Caenorhabditis elegans: one gene and its partner. The protein of the gene in region 1 interacts with the protein of each later gene in a pairwise test. Each region holds a gene or a part of one and is shown on either strand. Other genes may lie near its edges. The genes, in order: fath-1 and daf-3.

What was found.
Region 2: the proteins of fath-1 (region 1) and daf-3 interact in a two-hybrid assay, tested with the Caenorhabditis elegans proteins (one study listed by BioGRID).

Annotation. Positions count from the first base shown.
Region 1 is NC_003279.8:10,174,961-10,179,474, forward strand, and holds fath-1 (Fatty acid 2-hydroxylase), read left to right. Parts: upstream 1-2,220; 5' UTR 2,221-2,228; coding exon 2,229-2,330; intron 2,331-2,382; coding exon 2,383-2,517; intron 2,518-2,565; coding exon 2,566-2,669; intron 2,670-2,716; coding exon 2,717-3,103; intron 3,104-3,151; coding exon 3,152-3,309; intron 3,310-3,549; coding exon 3,550-3,614; 3' UTR 3,615-3,955; downstream 3,956-4,514. Other genes in the region: nola-3 (Putative H/ACA ribonucleoprotein complex subunit 3), read left to right, coding at 4,082-4,276; C25A1.16 (uncharacterized protein), read left to right, coding at 4,278-4,358, 4,407-4,514.
Region 2 is NC_003284.9:819,163-827,209, reverse strand, and holds the start of daf-3 (Smad protein daf-3), read left to right. Parts: upstream 1-1,783; coding exon 1,784-1,808; intron 1,809-1,947; coding exon 1,948-2,136; intron 2,137-3,040; coding exon 3,041-3,142; intron 3,143-3,363; exon of another isoform or gene 3,364-3,368; coding exon of another isoform or gene 3,369-3,396; coding exon 3,397-3,552; intron 3,553-3,599; coding exon 3,600-3,751; intron 3,752-3,797; coding exon 3,798-4,037; intron 4,038-4,231; coding exon 4,232-4,366; intron 4,367-4,518; coding exon of another isoform or gene 4,519-4,527; coding exon 4,528-5,188; intron 5,189-6,478; coding exon 6,479-6,609; intron 6,610-6,788; coding exon 6,789-6,910; intron 6,911-6,954; coding exon 6,955-7,007; intron 7,008-7,339; coding exon 7,340-7,511; intron 7,512-7,714; coding exon 7,715-8,021; intron 8,022-8,047. UniProt on the Caenorhabditis elegans protein: Transcriptional regulator and common SMAD (co-SMAD), required to regulate entry into a developmentally arrested larval state known as dauer, in response to harsh environmental conditions.

The DNA of each region.
Region 1 (4,514 bases):
TCATATAATGGCTAGGCAGGTTTTATATGTTCAGACGCAATATATGAGTGACACTCTGACTCATTTTATGCCTTTCTTGAAGCAAACATTTTCAATTTCGCGTTTCTTTTTTTTTCCTTTTCTTCGACGCCGCGTCGTATTCTTCTCAACTAAATTAGTTTCCCGTCGAATGAGTTTCCTTCTTACTCTTTGAAAATAAGAAGACAATGCGGTGGTTTCTATGGTTTAACTGCATGGCTCCAAGAGTCCAAGTCCATTCTTTTGTGTATGTTTGTCAATGGTTACAAAGTTCTCGTCTCGTTTCCCGCGCGCTCAGTGTTTTCCTTCCGTCGCCCAGAGAAGCTTAAAAGCCTCTCTTGAGCTGGAGGAGCACACGCCGCCGCCGGCTCCGCACTCCTCGCAATTTTGGAAATTGCATGAGCCTCTTCTTTCCTTCCTTCCTTTCCCGCCACGCCCCTTTCCTCCCCCGTTTTCCATTTCATCGAACTGACTGACGGGAGAGGAAGGATGGACGATAGACGGGGTGGCAAAATATTCAACCCCATTGTTTGCCCCCGTTTCTGACGAAGAGCCCGTGCACATACATAGGCTCGCACTCTCATTCCGCACATTTTATCTCGTTGAATTCAATTCAATTAGGTCACTTGCTCTAGTTTGCTCTTTCAATCTCTACTCTTTTAACCCGGGTGCTATGATACTTTAAATCAAACTTCCATCACCTTCCATATAGATTAACTCTTCAGATTCCACACTAACATCCTTAAAAATTACAAAAATATTTAAATGCTCCAGAATGACATCCTGGACAATTTTTGAATATTTCATCCTCAGCGTCTGCCATCTCCGCTTAAATAGGAAAAGGCTCACACAATTTGCAAATATATATTTATAAAGGCTCGGTTTATTTGAGATGGCACATTTTTCATTAAGTATTCGTACCAACGGGCACAATTGTGCCCGATTTGTGTCTAGAAAAACTAGGAAAATCGTGGGAAAATGACAGTTTGTTTGCCAGAAAACTCTTCAGTCTTCTATATAATCGTAGTTGTGGTAGTTCCAAAACTTGTGTTTTCATATATTTTAACTCGTATTTTAACTGCTGCAAGATTTCTAAATTAAATTATATTAAACCGAGAAATTTCGAAGCTCAGAAACTATGATTACTTGAGGCAGATATGTCTCAATTGTTCCAATGTTTTTAACTAGACTCAGGCCAACACAAAGACCAAGTGCAACATATCAAAATTACACATTTGATGTCCAATGCACATGTTTCAAATTTGCTCAGAAACCCTTCACCTTCATCTCCTGCTCCACCACCCACCTCTCTTGTGTCGGCTCTCTCCTATGCTATTATATGTATGTGCTCTGAATCCCTTGCAGAATTCATGTAATACTATGTTTTCCCGTTTCGTCTACTTGCTTCCCTTTTCTTTCGGTGTTGATTTACCTAATTAAATGAGAACCTACGTGCATTTCCTGCTCCGACTCAGAGAGAGAGAGAAATTATTCAATATAGCAATGTAGCAGAGATTTTTATTCTATTTTCAGTTGTTTTCAAGTATTTCCAGCTATCAATCATCACTTTTCTGAAGCAGGTGAATACTGAAAAACAATCCATTCTGCAATCTCGTTATACCTTTTTTGATTCGAACAGCTCCTTCACTCGTGATATTATGAGGACGCAGAAACATGATACGCTCCGCCCCCAAACCATGGGTCTCGTTAGGTATTTGACGGAAAAACCTTCAATCGAAACGTTTTAATAGTGTTTTTCGTTTTTTTATTATGTTGTTTTTAAAGATTTTGATGCTGAAATTCTGACATGAATTTTTAGTCAAATGAAACAACATTAATTTCTTAAACAAGAAATCTTTAAAATCAACTTAAAACATAACAAAAATTTTTTAATATGAAACTAATTGAAAAACGTCTGAATTAATGAGTTCTGCCGCCAACTTCCTACCGAGACCCATGGCCCGGAGGCGGCGCGCTTTGCACTTCAATTTGAATAGGTATTTTTTCTGCGTCCCCATAATATACCCTAACCTCAATTCATATGGCTGCTTTTCTTGACCGGAAAATGACGTTTTCTGGTGAATGTGCTCATTTCCTTTTGCTACTTATTTTTCTACTATGAGATCATGATCATATTGCTTTCCCCGTTTCATATTTTCTATATTTATAACGTTTCGTAATTTATAATTTTCTATATTTCAGTGGAAAATATGGGGATAGGAGCAGATGAGAAGAAGCCGTTGCTAGTACAACTCGACGGGCAATATTATGACATTGCTGATTTTGCGCCTAAACATCCGGGAGGTGCCAAGGTAACTTTTTTTCAAGTTTTAGGATATTTTACTAATCTCAAACTTTTTATAGGTTCTGAATCGTTTGGCTGGAGAAGAAATTGGAGAATTTATCAGAGGAGAAAAAAGGATAATGGGTGTACGTCATGAGCACTCGGAAGCCGCTTATAATATGCTCGAGAGATATAATGTGAATGCAATTCAAAAAGTTCGTTCCTTCCATCAAATCTAATTATTAATATTTCTAAAATTCTAGGGTGATCCATTGATTGAGTCTAAATCCGGAATGCTTTTCAAAGTTGGATCTCTTGGCTCTGAATATTGGCATTGGATTCATCAACCATATGATGGAACTTTAAGGTATTGATGATCTCGACTTTTCAATGCAAATTTTCACTTTTTTTCAGACTTTTCGATTCGGATGTGTTGGAAAGCATGACAAGAACAGCTTGGTGGGTGGTCCCTGCTGTTTGGATGCCGATCGTCATTACTTTTTCTATCCTCTCAGTGCTCTCATTTTCAACATCCACCGATGTTTATAACTCGATTCTCCTGTGGTCTGCCTGGTTCGTCATTGGAGTTTTGACATGGACTCTCACTGAATACAGTCTTCATCGATGGGTTTTCCATTGGAAGCCGTCTCCAGATTCGCCGAATCAGATTCTTCTTCATTTCTTGGCTCATGGACTTCACCATAAAACACCGATGGACGGAGACCGCCTTGTGTTCCCTCCGGTTCCAGCTACTTTGATTGTTGGAATTTTCTATTTAATCTACTCCAATACCTTCCAATGGTCAGTATTAAACCTTTCCTGGTTCCCATATTCAGTTAATCGTTTTAGGCCAGTGTTTTGCGCGTTTGGCGCTGGAAAGTTATTTGGATATGTAACCTACGATATGGTACACTATTATTTACATCACGGAAGTCCTCGTCCACGCAGCAATTTACATTTTAGAAAAGTATATCATCATAATCACCACTTCAAAAACTTTGACGTCGGTAAGTTACATTTAACGGGATTTTGTTTAAAAATCAATTTTTAATTTGTTATTTTTAAGTCAAGAACATTAAAAACTGTTTTTTAATTGAGATTTTCTATAATCTGCAAATTGTCGTGAAATATAATGTTCTCTGACGGAAAATTACACAGATTTGCGATGGAGCGCGTTTGCACTTTCATTTTCGCAATCGAAATTTTTCTATCATTTTCCCTATTTCAGGCCTATTTTCATTTTTCAGGCTTCGGAATTTCGACTTCTCTTTGGGATTATGTTTTCCACACACTCGGAATGGGCCCATTATAATAATACATAGATGTTTTTTCGGAAAATTTGTTGTTTATTGAGTGAACTCTGCCTCACGTTTTTTATCTCTAAGTCTCTTGTCCCGATTCACTTTTCTCACGATCCACTATACCCGTTGTACATATATATTTATCGATTTACCTTTTCTTTTCTCGTACGCCAGATTAGTTCAACTTGTTTTCACATTTTATCTATATAGATCAGCTACTCAGCACGTGCCTATTATCCTCACTTCTTACCGGTTTCCATCAAACATTTTGTGATATTCCTTCTTGTTTTGTTTTCTTTCTGTTATGCGTGAAATTTGGAATAATTTTTAAAAATATCTAATGAAATCACCCCTTCATTCTTTCTCGCTAATTCTTTTTTTCGTTGCAATGCGCCGTATTTATTTCATATTTCTCTATAGTTTCAGAAGTTTTAGAAATCATTGATAGTTTCAGAACTCAGTCTACTTTCAACGGACAATGTTCTTGAGATACTTCTTGGACGAGAACCAACAAAGAGTGTACACTTTGAAGAGAACTGCTCCATCTGGAGAGCAAACTCTTACCGCTCATCCAGCTCGCTTTTCGCCGGAAGACAAGAACTCCAAATATCGCATCATCATCAAGAAGCGCTTCGGACTCTTGCCAACCCAGAAGGCAAAGACCGTTTGCTAAAATGCTGGTTTGGGAGTGGCGCCGCATGTTGCGGCAAAAAATCCGCTCTTTCACCCCCAATAAACCTATCAATTATCAACAGGTAATTTACAAATCTCGCATTTTTCCAAACGATATTTTATAATTTCAGGTGTCTCGTCGTCGTATCATCGTCTCTTTTGTTCTTTTCTTCGTTGGATGGAAAGCTTTTGGTTATACTCTCAACGATATGTTCCTTTGGACTGTCGATGAGCAAACT
Region 2 (8,047 bases), on another chromosome or scaffold:
CTAGAGGTGTTAATAATTGACGGTTTCAAGGCTAAGATCACGCGATTCTTTAGTTGAATTTGTTTTTTGATTGTTTGGACTGTGAGATTGTAATTTTTTTAATCTTGTAAGTTTTTGTGCAATGAAAAATGCCTTAACGACTTTCATATAAATTTCTCTTATTCCTCTTGTTTAAAATGTCTACCACAAATTTTTAACAGTTATAACTAAATTGGGCAAAATTTGTTATTTCAACTTTACAAAAAAAATTTAACTTTTTTTGAATACTCTCTGTAGACGCGGTTTTTTTTTCAGAATTATGGTGGCCACCTTTTCAATAAAAAAAAATTATCTGAAAAATGCCATGGTCTCTCTGACCTTCGGCCCACATTGTATCTACGGATTTCATTCAAATATTTGCGGTTTTTTTTGACCGCTTGATCAAACTAATGAACTTTCATCAATGCAAACAAAATTTTTTCGCCAAAAGCAAATGACTAGCCAACTTTTTTTTTCTGTTTATGTTCAAATAGTTCAGTGGTTTCTTGTTAATTAATTATGACACAGTTTTGGTCACAAAATTTGAGCGTTTTTTTCGCTGAAACAATTGCACAAATCTAATACAAAACATTCTGATATCACACGCATCAATTTGGCGAGATTTCAAAAAATCAAACTGAGATGAGACCAGTGAAAACAAAAAATATATATGAGTCATCTAGAAAGTGATCTATACATTTTGTAGATCTTTTTTTAAAAATTGTGATGTTTGAGTACTTACAATGTAGGTCTACCACTTATTTTTTCTAGTTAGCTCACTATTTTATGCTTAGCATAGGTCAAACTACCCTTATAAAAAAAAACAATTATTTAGGTAAAAACGCTTGAAGTTCTTTTTTTCCTTTGTTTTGCACGAGAGGTTTTTTGTAAGTTTCTTATCAATCTCTTTTTTCAGTAAAAAAAGATCAAAACATCAAACCGAGGTCATGTGCACTCTCTTGTAGCTCTCTACTTGTTCCCTCATTATCTTATTCCCCCCGTCTTCTCACTTGTTGGTCCAACTACGCTCAACTTATCGATTCTTTGCAGCGAGCACTGCCACCTCAACACACTTTTAGCAATGAAATAGTGTGCTGGGCGAAGAGACGCAGACACACGTACGTAGTTTAAGAGTGAGCGAGATAGAGTGTGCGTAACGAGAAAAAGAGATAGAAGACGAAGAAACAAGTAGTGGTTTGGTTTCGATCTTTTTTTTTTAATTTGGGATATTTTTATTTTTATTTTCGAATTGTCAATTATTATTATTAATAGACTGTCAAAAATTACTTTTAATACCCCGTATTTGAACACGTTCTTTTTTTTATTTCTCTTAAATTGATTCCAAACAAGTTCCTATTAACACAATTCTTTTCAATTTTCTTTTCGAAATCATAATATTTTTTAAAAGTTAAATCTGTGGTTTTTTGGTTTTCCTTTCTGAATATGTTTTTACTGAAAACACCAAAAAATCTTGACAGTAGCTCAAAATATCAAGCTTTACAATTAAAGTTTTTCTCAACTTTTTTTTTCCCCTATAAACACAATCTCCCTTTATTCCCAAAAATACCACGAAACATGATATTTCAAAAAAAAAAGACAAACAGGTTTATACCACAGTTTGTACCTTTTATTGTCCATGCTGGTATTGTATTTCCTACTTCTTTGCCGCCCGGTTTTTCCTTGTTGTTTTAATTTTATTCCAAAACTCAATTTTACAGGTAATCAAATTGTAAAGGAAAAATATTAATAGTCAGAGTACACATAAATGGGTGATCATCATAATTTAACGGGTGAGTTTTTGTTTTATTGAAATTACTTTATTTTCGGAATGTTATTTAAAAAAAAGTTACAGTTTGAATAAAAAAACAGGATCTTCTGTTTCAGTTTTGAAAAAAAAACCAATTCCATAGTCCATATCCCAACTTACAGGCCTTCCCGGTACCTCCATCCCGCCACAGTTCAACTATTCTCAGCCCGGTACCAGCACCGGAGGGCCGCTTTATGGTGGAAAACCTTCTCATGGATTGGAAGATATTCCTGATGTAGAGGAATATGAGAGGAACCTGCTCGGGGCTGGAGCAGGTTTTAATCTGCTCAATGTAGGAAATATGGCTAATGGTGAGTTTAAATAGTAGCTATAGGAGTGAAGTGTTTGGAGTGTCGTGTTGGATATAAAATATCAATTAAAATAGATTCGAATTATTCAGAAAATCGCTTATTTTGGTAGTAGAACAAATGTTGATAAGTTAACAGACATCTTCTTTTTCCAATTAGTCTTGCACCCGAAGTGACTAGTTGGAAAATAGCCTTGCAGTTTCTATTAATTTTGTACATACTAATCTAGTACATTTCTAGAGAAAATTTTAGTATTTTAAGGTGGCAACGAGTAGTGCGGAACTCAAAATTCTCTTACATTCTCTTATATCTACTTACATTGAAAATTAATTTTGCACTCAAAAAATACCAAATAAAAAATAGGGTACTTGTTCCCGCTATTTTTGAAATTAATCAATTTTTCATTAATTTATCTATTTAAATTAAACTTGATATCTATTTTCTTCGTTGGGCTCAGGAATGGTAAATACGAGTTTTATAAGTTTTTATTTTATAAGTTAAAAAATTAATTTCTAAAATAGCGGAAGCATAATACACAAGTACCAAAAATAGTTATACATGCAATTTTGTCCATAGAATACTCTGAAACAACCTTGGTATTAGCTGCAAAACTGCAACATTATCAATTTAAAAAGGTATTTCTAATTGCAAATAAAATCGTAGCATTTCTAACAGTTGCCTAATTCTCGCTTTCTATTTTCAAATTTCAATTTTTTTTAAACTTTCAAGTAATGCAAACTCTGTAAAACACTGAAATCTAGTGAAAACCAAATCAATTTCCCTACGTGATTAGTAGTCGTGGTGTATGGTGGTTTGTGTTGGTTTGATATGCTTATTTTCCTTTTTGTTTTAAAAACCTTCCCCGTTTTGTTGCTTTTTAAATTTTACATTTCAAACTGAAATTCAGAATTTAAACCAATAATCACATTGGACACGAAACCACCTCGTGATGCCAACAAGTCATTGGCATTCAATGGCGGGTTGAAGCTAATCACTCCGAAAACTGAAGGTAAATAACGTCGAACATAGTAGTATAGCTTGAAAATAAAAAAAAACGTTGAATATGATGCATAAATGGTGCAATAGAAGGTTCAAAAGAATTTGTTGCCAACAAAAAATCTAAAATTTCAACACGAACCTCATGATGTTTACCGTCTGGCAGTCACTAACACACGTATTGATAAGCGAATTGTTGCCAAATTTCGTTGCTTATCAAACCTTATTTCTCTCTGACCATGAAGCTAATAGCAACTTCTCTTCTAGTTCCCGACGAGCACACACCGATGATGTCACCAGTGAATACAACTACAAAGATTCTACAACGGAGTGGTATTAAAATGGAAATCCCGCCATATTTGGATCCAGACAGTCAGGATGATGACCCGGAAGATGGTGTCAACTACCCGGATCCAGATTTATGTAAGTGGCAAAAAAAGTGTGAGCAAAAGAACTTAATATATTTTCAGTTGACACAAAAAACACAAATATGACCGAGTACGATTTGGATGTGTTGAAGCTTGGAAAACCAGCAGTAGATGAAGCACGGAAAAAGATCGAAGTTCCCGACGCTAGTGCGCCGCCAAACAAAATTGTAGAATATTTGATGTATTATAGAACGGTAAATACTTAAGTTTGTAGTACTGATTACAATATTGCATTTTCAGTTAAAAGAAAGTGAACTCATACAACTGAATGCGTATCGGACAAAACGAAATCGATTATCGTTGAACTTGGTCAAAAACAATATTGATCGAGAGTTCGACCAAAAAGCTTGCGAGTCCCTGGTGAAAAAATTGAAGGATAAGAAGAATGATCTCCAGAACCTGATTGATGTGGTTCTTTCAAAAGGTACAAAATATACCGGTTGCATTACAATTCCAAGGACACTTGATGGCCGGTTACAGGTGAGATCAAAAAAAATTTCTAGGACACATTTTGAGCCTATAGACATTAAATTATGATCTTTCAACGAACCTACGCTAGATAAATGATCCGACTTTTAAAAGTTTTGGAATTTATTTTGAGACGTTTCATTATGAAACTTGTATTAGACCAGCTTATGATATCAAAGTACCCACAAACTCCATACAAATTACAGGTCCACGGAAGAAAAGGTTTCCCTCACGTAGTCTATGGCAAACTGTGGAGGTTTAATGAAATGACAAAAAACGAAACGCGTCATGTGGACCACTGCAAGCACGCATTTGAAATGAAAAGTGACATGGTAGGTGAAGTAAGTGTGAATTGTTTCATTTTTCCTTTGATGTGATGTGGCACATGTTAGCTTCTTCCCTTATTCGGTTAACTCTGTGACCTTTGTTTGATTAAGTTGATTGCCTAATGTTGAGAAGATGTGACTTTTAAAAGTTTTAATATGAATATTAGGCCTTACAGGTATGCGTGAATCCCTATCACTACGAAATTGTCATTGGAACTATGATTGTTGGGCAGAGGGATCATGACAATCGAGATATGCCGCCGCCACATCAACGCTACCACACTCCAGGTCGGCAGGATCCAGTTGACGATATGAGTAGATTTATACCACCAGCTTCCATTCGTCCGCCTCCGATGAACATGCACACAAGGCCTCAGCCTATGCCTCAACAATTGCCTTCAGTTGGCGCAACGTTTGCCCATCCTCTCCCACATCAGGCGCCACATAACCCAGGGGTTTCACATCCGTACTCCATTGCTCCACAGACCCATTACCCGTTGAACATGAACCCAATTCCGCAAATGCCGCAAATGCCACAAATGCCACCACCTCTCCATCAGGGATATGGAATGAATGGGCCGAGTTGCTCTTCAGAAAACAACAATCCATTCCACCAAAATCACCATTATAATGATATTAGCCATCCAAATCACTATTCCTACGACTGTGGTCCGAACTTGTACGGGTTTCCAACTCCTTATCCGGATTTTCACCATCCTTTCAATCAGCAACCACACCAGCCGCCACAACTATCACAAAACCATACGTCCCAACAAGGCAGTCATCAACCAGGGCACCAAGGTCAGGTACCGAATGATCCACCAATTTCAAGACCAGGTACGTATGATTTAAAAAAAAAACAGTTGTTGTAAGGAGAAAAAGTTATTCTGACAGTAGGCATGAGGGTTGAACTAGAGGGACGCCGCAATTGCAAGAATTGTCGATTGCCGAAAATTTCCGACTTTGAACGGATGTCGGCAGGATGTGCCGGTCCGCTGTCAGGGTGGGCGGCAATTGCCGTTTGGCAATTTTTTTTGTCCACAAATTCAGCAAATCGCCGGAAATTTTCGATTCCGGCAATTAGCCGGTTTGCCGATTTGACGGAAATTTTAATTGAAGCAATTTGCCGATTTGCCGATTTGGCTGAAAAAATCGTTTGCCGCTCACCCCTGGTTTGGTGTTCCAGCCGAGAGCTAATAATTTTAGTCACTCAGCCACACAATACTGCCACCTATCAAGGCATGGATTTACAAAGGTTTAATATCTCCAGGTGTCAAACCAGAAACGGCAAAATATTATTTATGGGTACCTCATTATATAAAGGGGTAGAATATAAGTAGGCGGACAGGTGCATAGCCAATTCCCGCAGTTTAATCCTTTTTGGGATGTCCATTAACAGAGCCTTATTTGAATTTTTCTATTGGATTTTCGCCCTTTTCCGATGAAAACGAAGCGTTTTCAAACTTCACTAAAAGTGCAGCTTTTACAATTTTGACTAAATTGCTCTAGAATTAAGTATGAAAAAATTTTATGAATAGTATTGAGAGTTCATATTCTTTCGCAAAATAATCAAGAAATCTCTGCAGGAAATTTAATGTTAAGTTTAATCCTTATACATAAATTCTAATATAAGTACTTGATAATAACGAGAAAGGATGAAGCCCCTCAAATATTTGCCTTTTAAATTTGCACGTAGGTTTGAAAAGGCATCAATTTTGCAAATTTTTTTTTCGATAAACATTTTGCAGTTTTTTTATTTTAGATCTCATCAAAATATCTTCTTCTGGTAGACACATGTAATTTATTTGAAATTGATTGGAAAATGCCAACTTACAACATTTTGAAAAGGTGTCCTGCCAATTTCATATCAGTTATCAGATTTATTTTCTAAAAAAATAGCCAAGTTGAGACCACGAGGCGTATGATTATAGTTGTATAGTCGGTGATTTATTGCATAAAGAAGTTGGTTTAAAAGCAGTGATTTTGATTCTCAAAACTCATTTTTTTAGAGATTTTCTACAGCCGCTTTGCGAACAATTTTACTTTTCATCATACATGATACATTTTTTTGTCGCCTTTTCAGTTCATTCCTAAAATTTGTAAAACTTGAAGTAAACTCAATTACAGTGTTACAACCATCAACAGTCACCTTGGACGTGTTCCGTCGGTACTGTAGACAGACATTTGGAAATCGATTTTTTGAAGGAGAAAGTGAACAATCCGGCGCAATAATTCGGTCTAGTAACAAATTCATTGAAGTAAGTATTTCTAATATGTAGCTACTATGTACGTGTCACTCAAGATTGACAGCTTATCGCATATAAGTTGTGTCGATAAGGTGCCAAACAAAATATTGAATTTAATGTCACTTTTTGCTTTCTGAATCATCAAACAAACGATTTTTGTTTTTCATTCAAGAATATTGTGTTTTTTCTAGGAATTTGATTCGCCGATTTGTGGTGTGACAGTTGTTCGACCGCGGATGACAGACGGTGAGGTTTTGGAGAACATCATGCCGGAAGATGCACCATATCATGACATTTGCAAGTTCATTTTGAGGTTCGTTCTAGTTTTCATGGAATTAAAAGCCAAGTATTTTTTAGGCTCACATCAGAAAGTGTAACTTTCTCAGGAGAGGGGCCAGAAGTTAGTGATTGTAAGTTTCTTTTTTTTCTCTCTAAAGTTCACTTTAAAAAATCGTGTTAGTGATTGAAAACAAAATGAGTAATTATGTATTATACCCCGCCAACATAAAATTAAATTAAATTTTCATTCATAACTTTATTTAAATTAAACGTGATATGGATTATCTTCTTCAGATTTAGAAATGGTTATCATCAAGAAATCTTCCACACGTTTTCATGCTTTATTTCTTAAAAACTTTCATTTAAAACGACGGGGATATAATACATAAATACCCAAAAATGTAAAAGATCAAGTAAATTTAAAATGTTCACAACATAAAAAAAAACTGCTTGCTTTTTTCAGTGAACGAAAAATGGGGAACAATTGTGTACTATGAGAAAAATTTGCAAATTGGCGAGAAAAAATGTTCGAGAGGAAATTTCCACGTGGATGGCGGATTCATTTGCTCTGAGAATCGTTACAGTCTCGGACTTGAGCCAAATCCAATTAGAGAACCAGTGGCGTTTAAAGTTCGGTAAGTAAATCTGAAACTTATTGATATATTATAGAACATAGGTACAATTTTTTTTACAATCCAATTTTTTGGGCAATGACAGTATCAGGGTAACAATCCAATCCAAATTCGGAAATGTTGTTCGATAGTTTCCAGCTTATGAATTTTCTAACTAAAGAAATAACACAAATTTTTAAAGCTTTTGAACCATTGAAATGTTTCAGTAAAGCAATAGTGGATGGAATTCGCTTTTCCTACAAAAAAGACGGGAGTGTTTGGCTTCAAAACCGCATGAAGTACCCGGTATTTGTCACTTCTGGGTATCTCGACGAGCAATCAGGAGGCCTAAAGAAGGATAAAGTGCACAAAGTTTACGGATGTGCGTCTATCAAAACGTTTGGCTTCAACGTTTCCAAACAAATCATCAGAGACGCGCTTCTTTCCAAGCAAATGGCAACAATGTACTTGCAAGGAAAATTGACTCCGATGAATTATATCTACGAGAAGAAGACTCAGGAAGAGCTGCGAAGGGTAATTTTGAGTGTAAGATTTTGTTT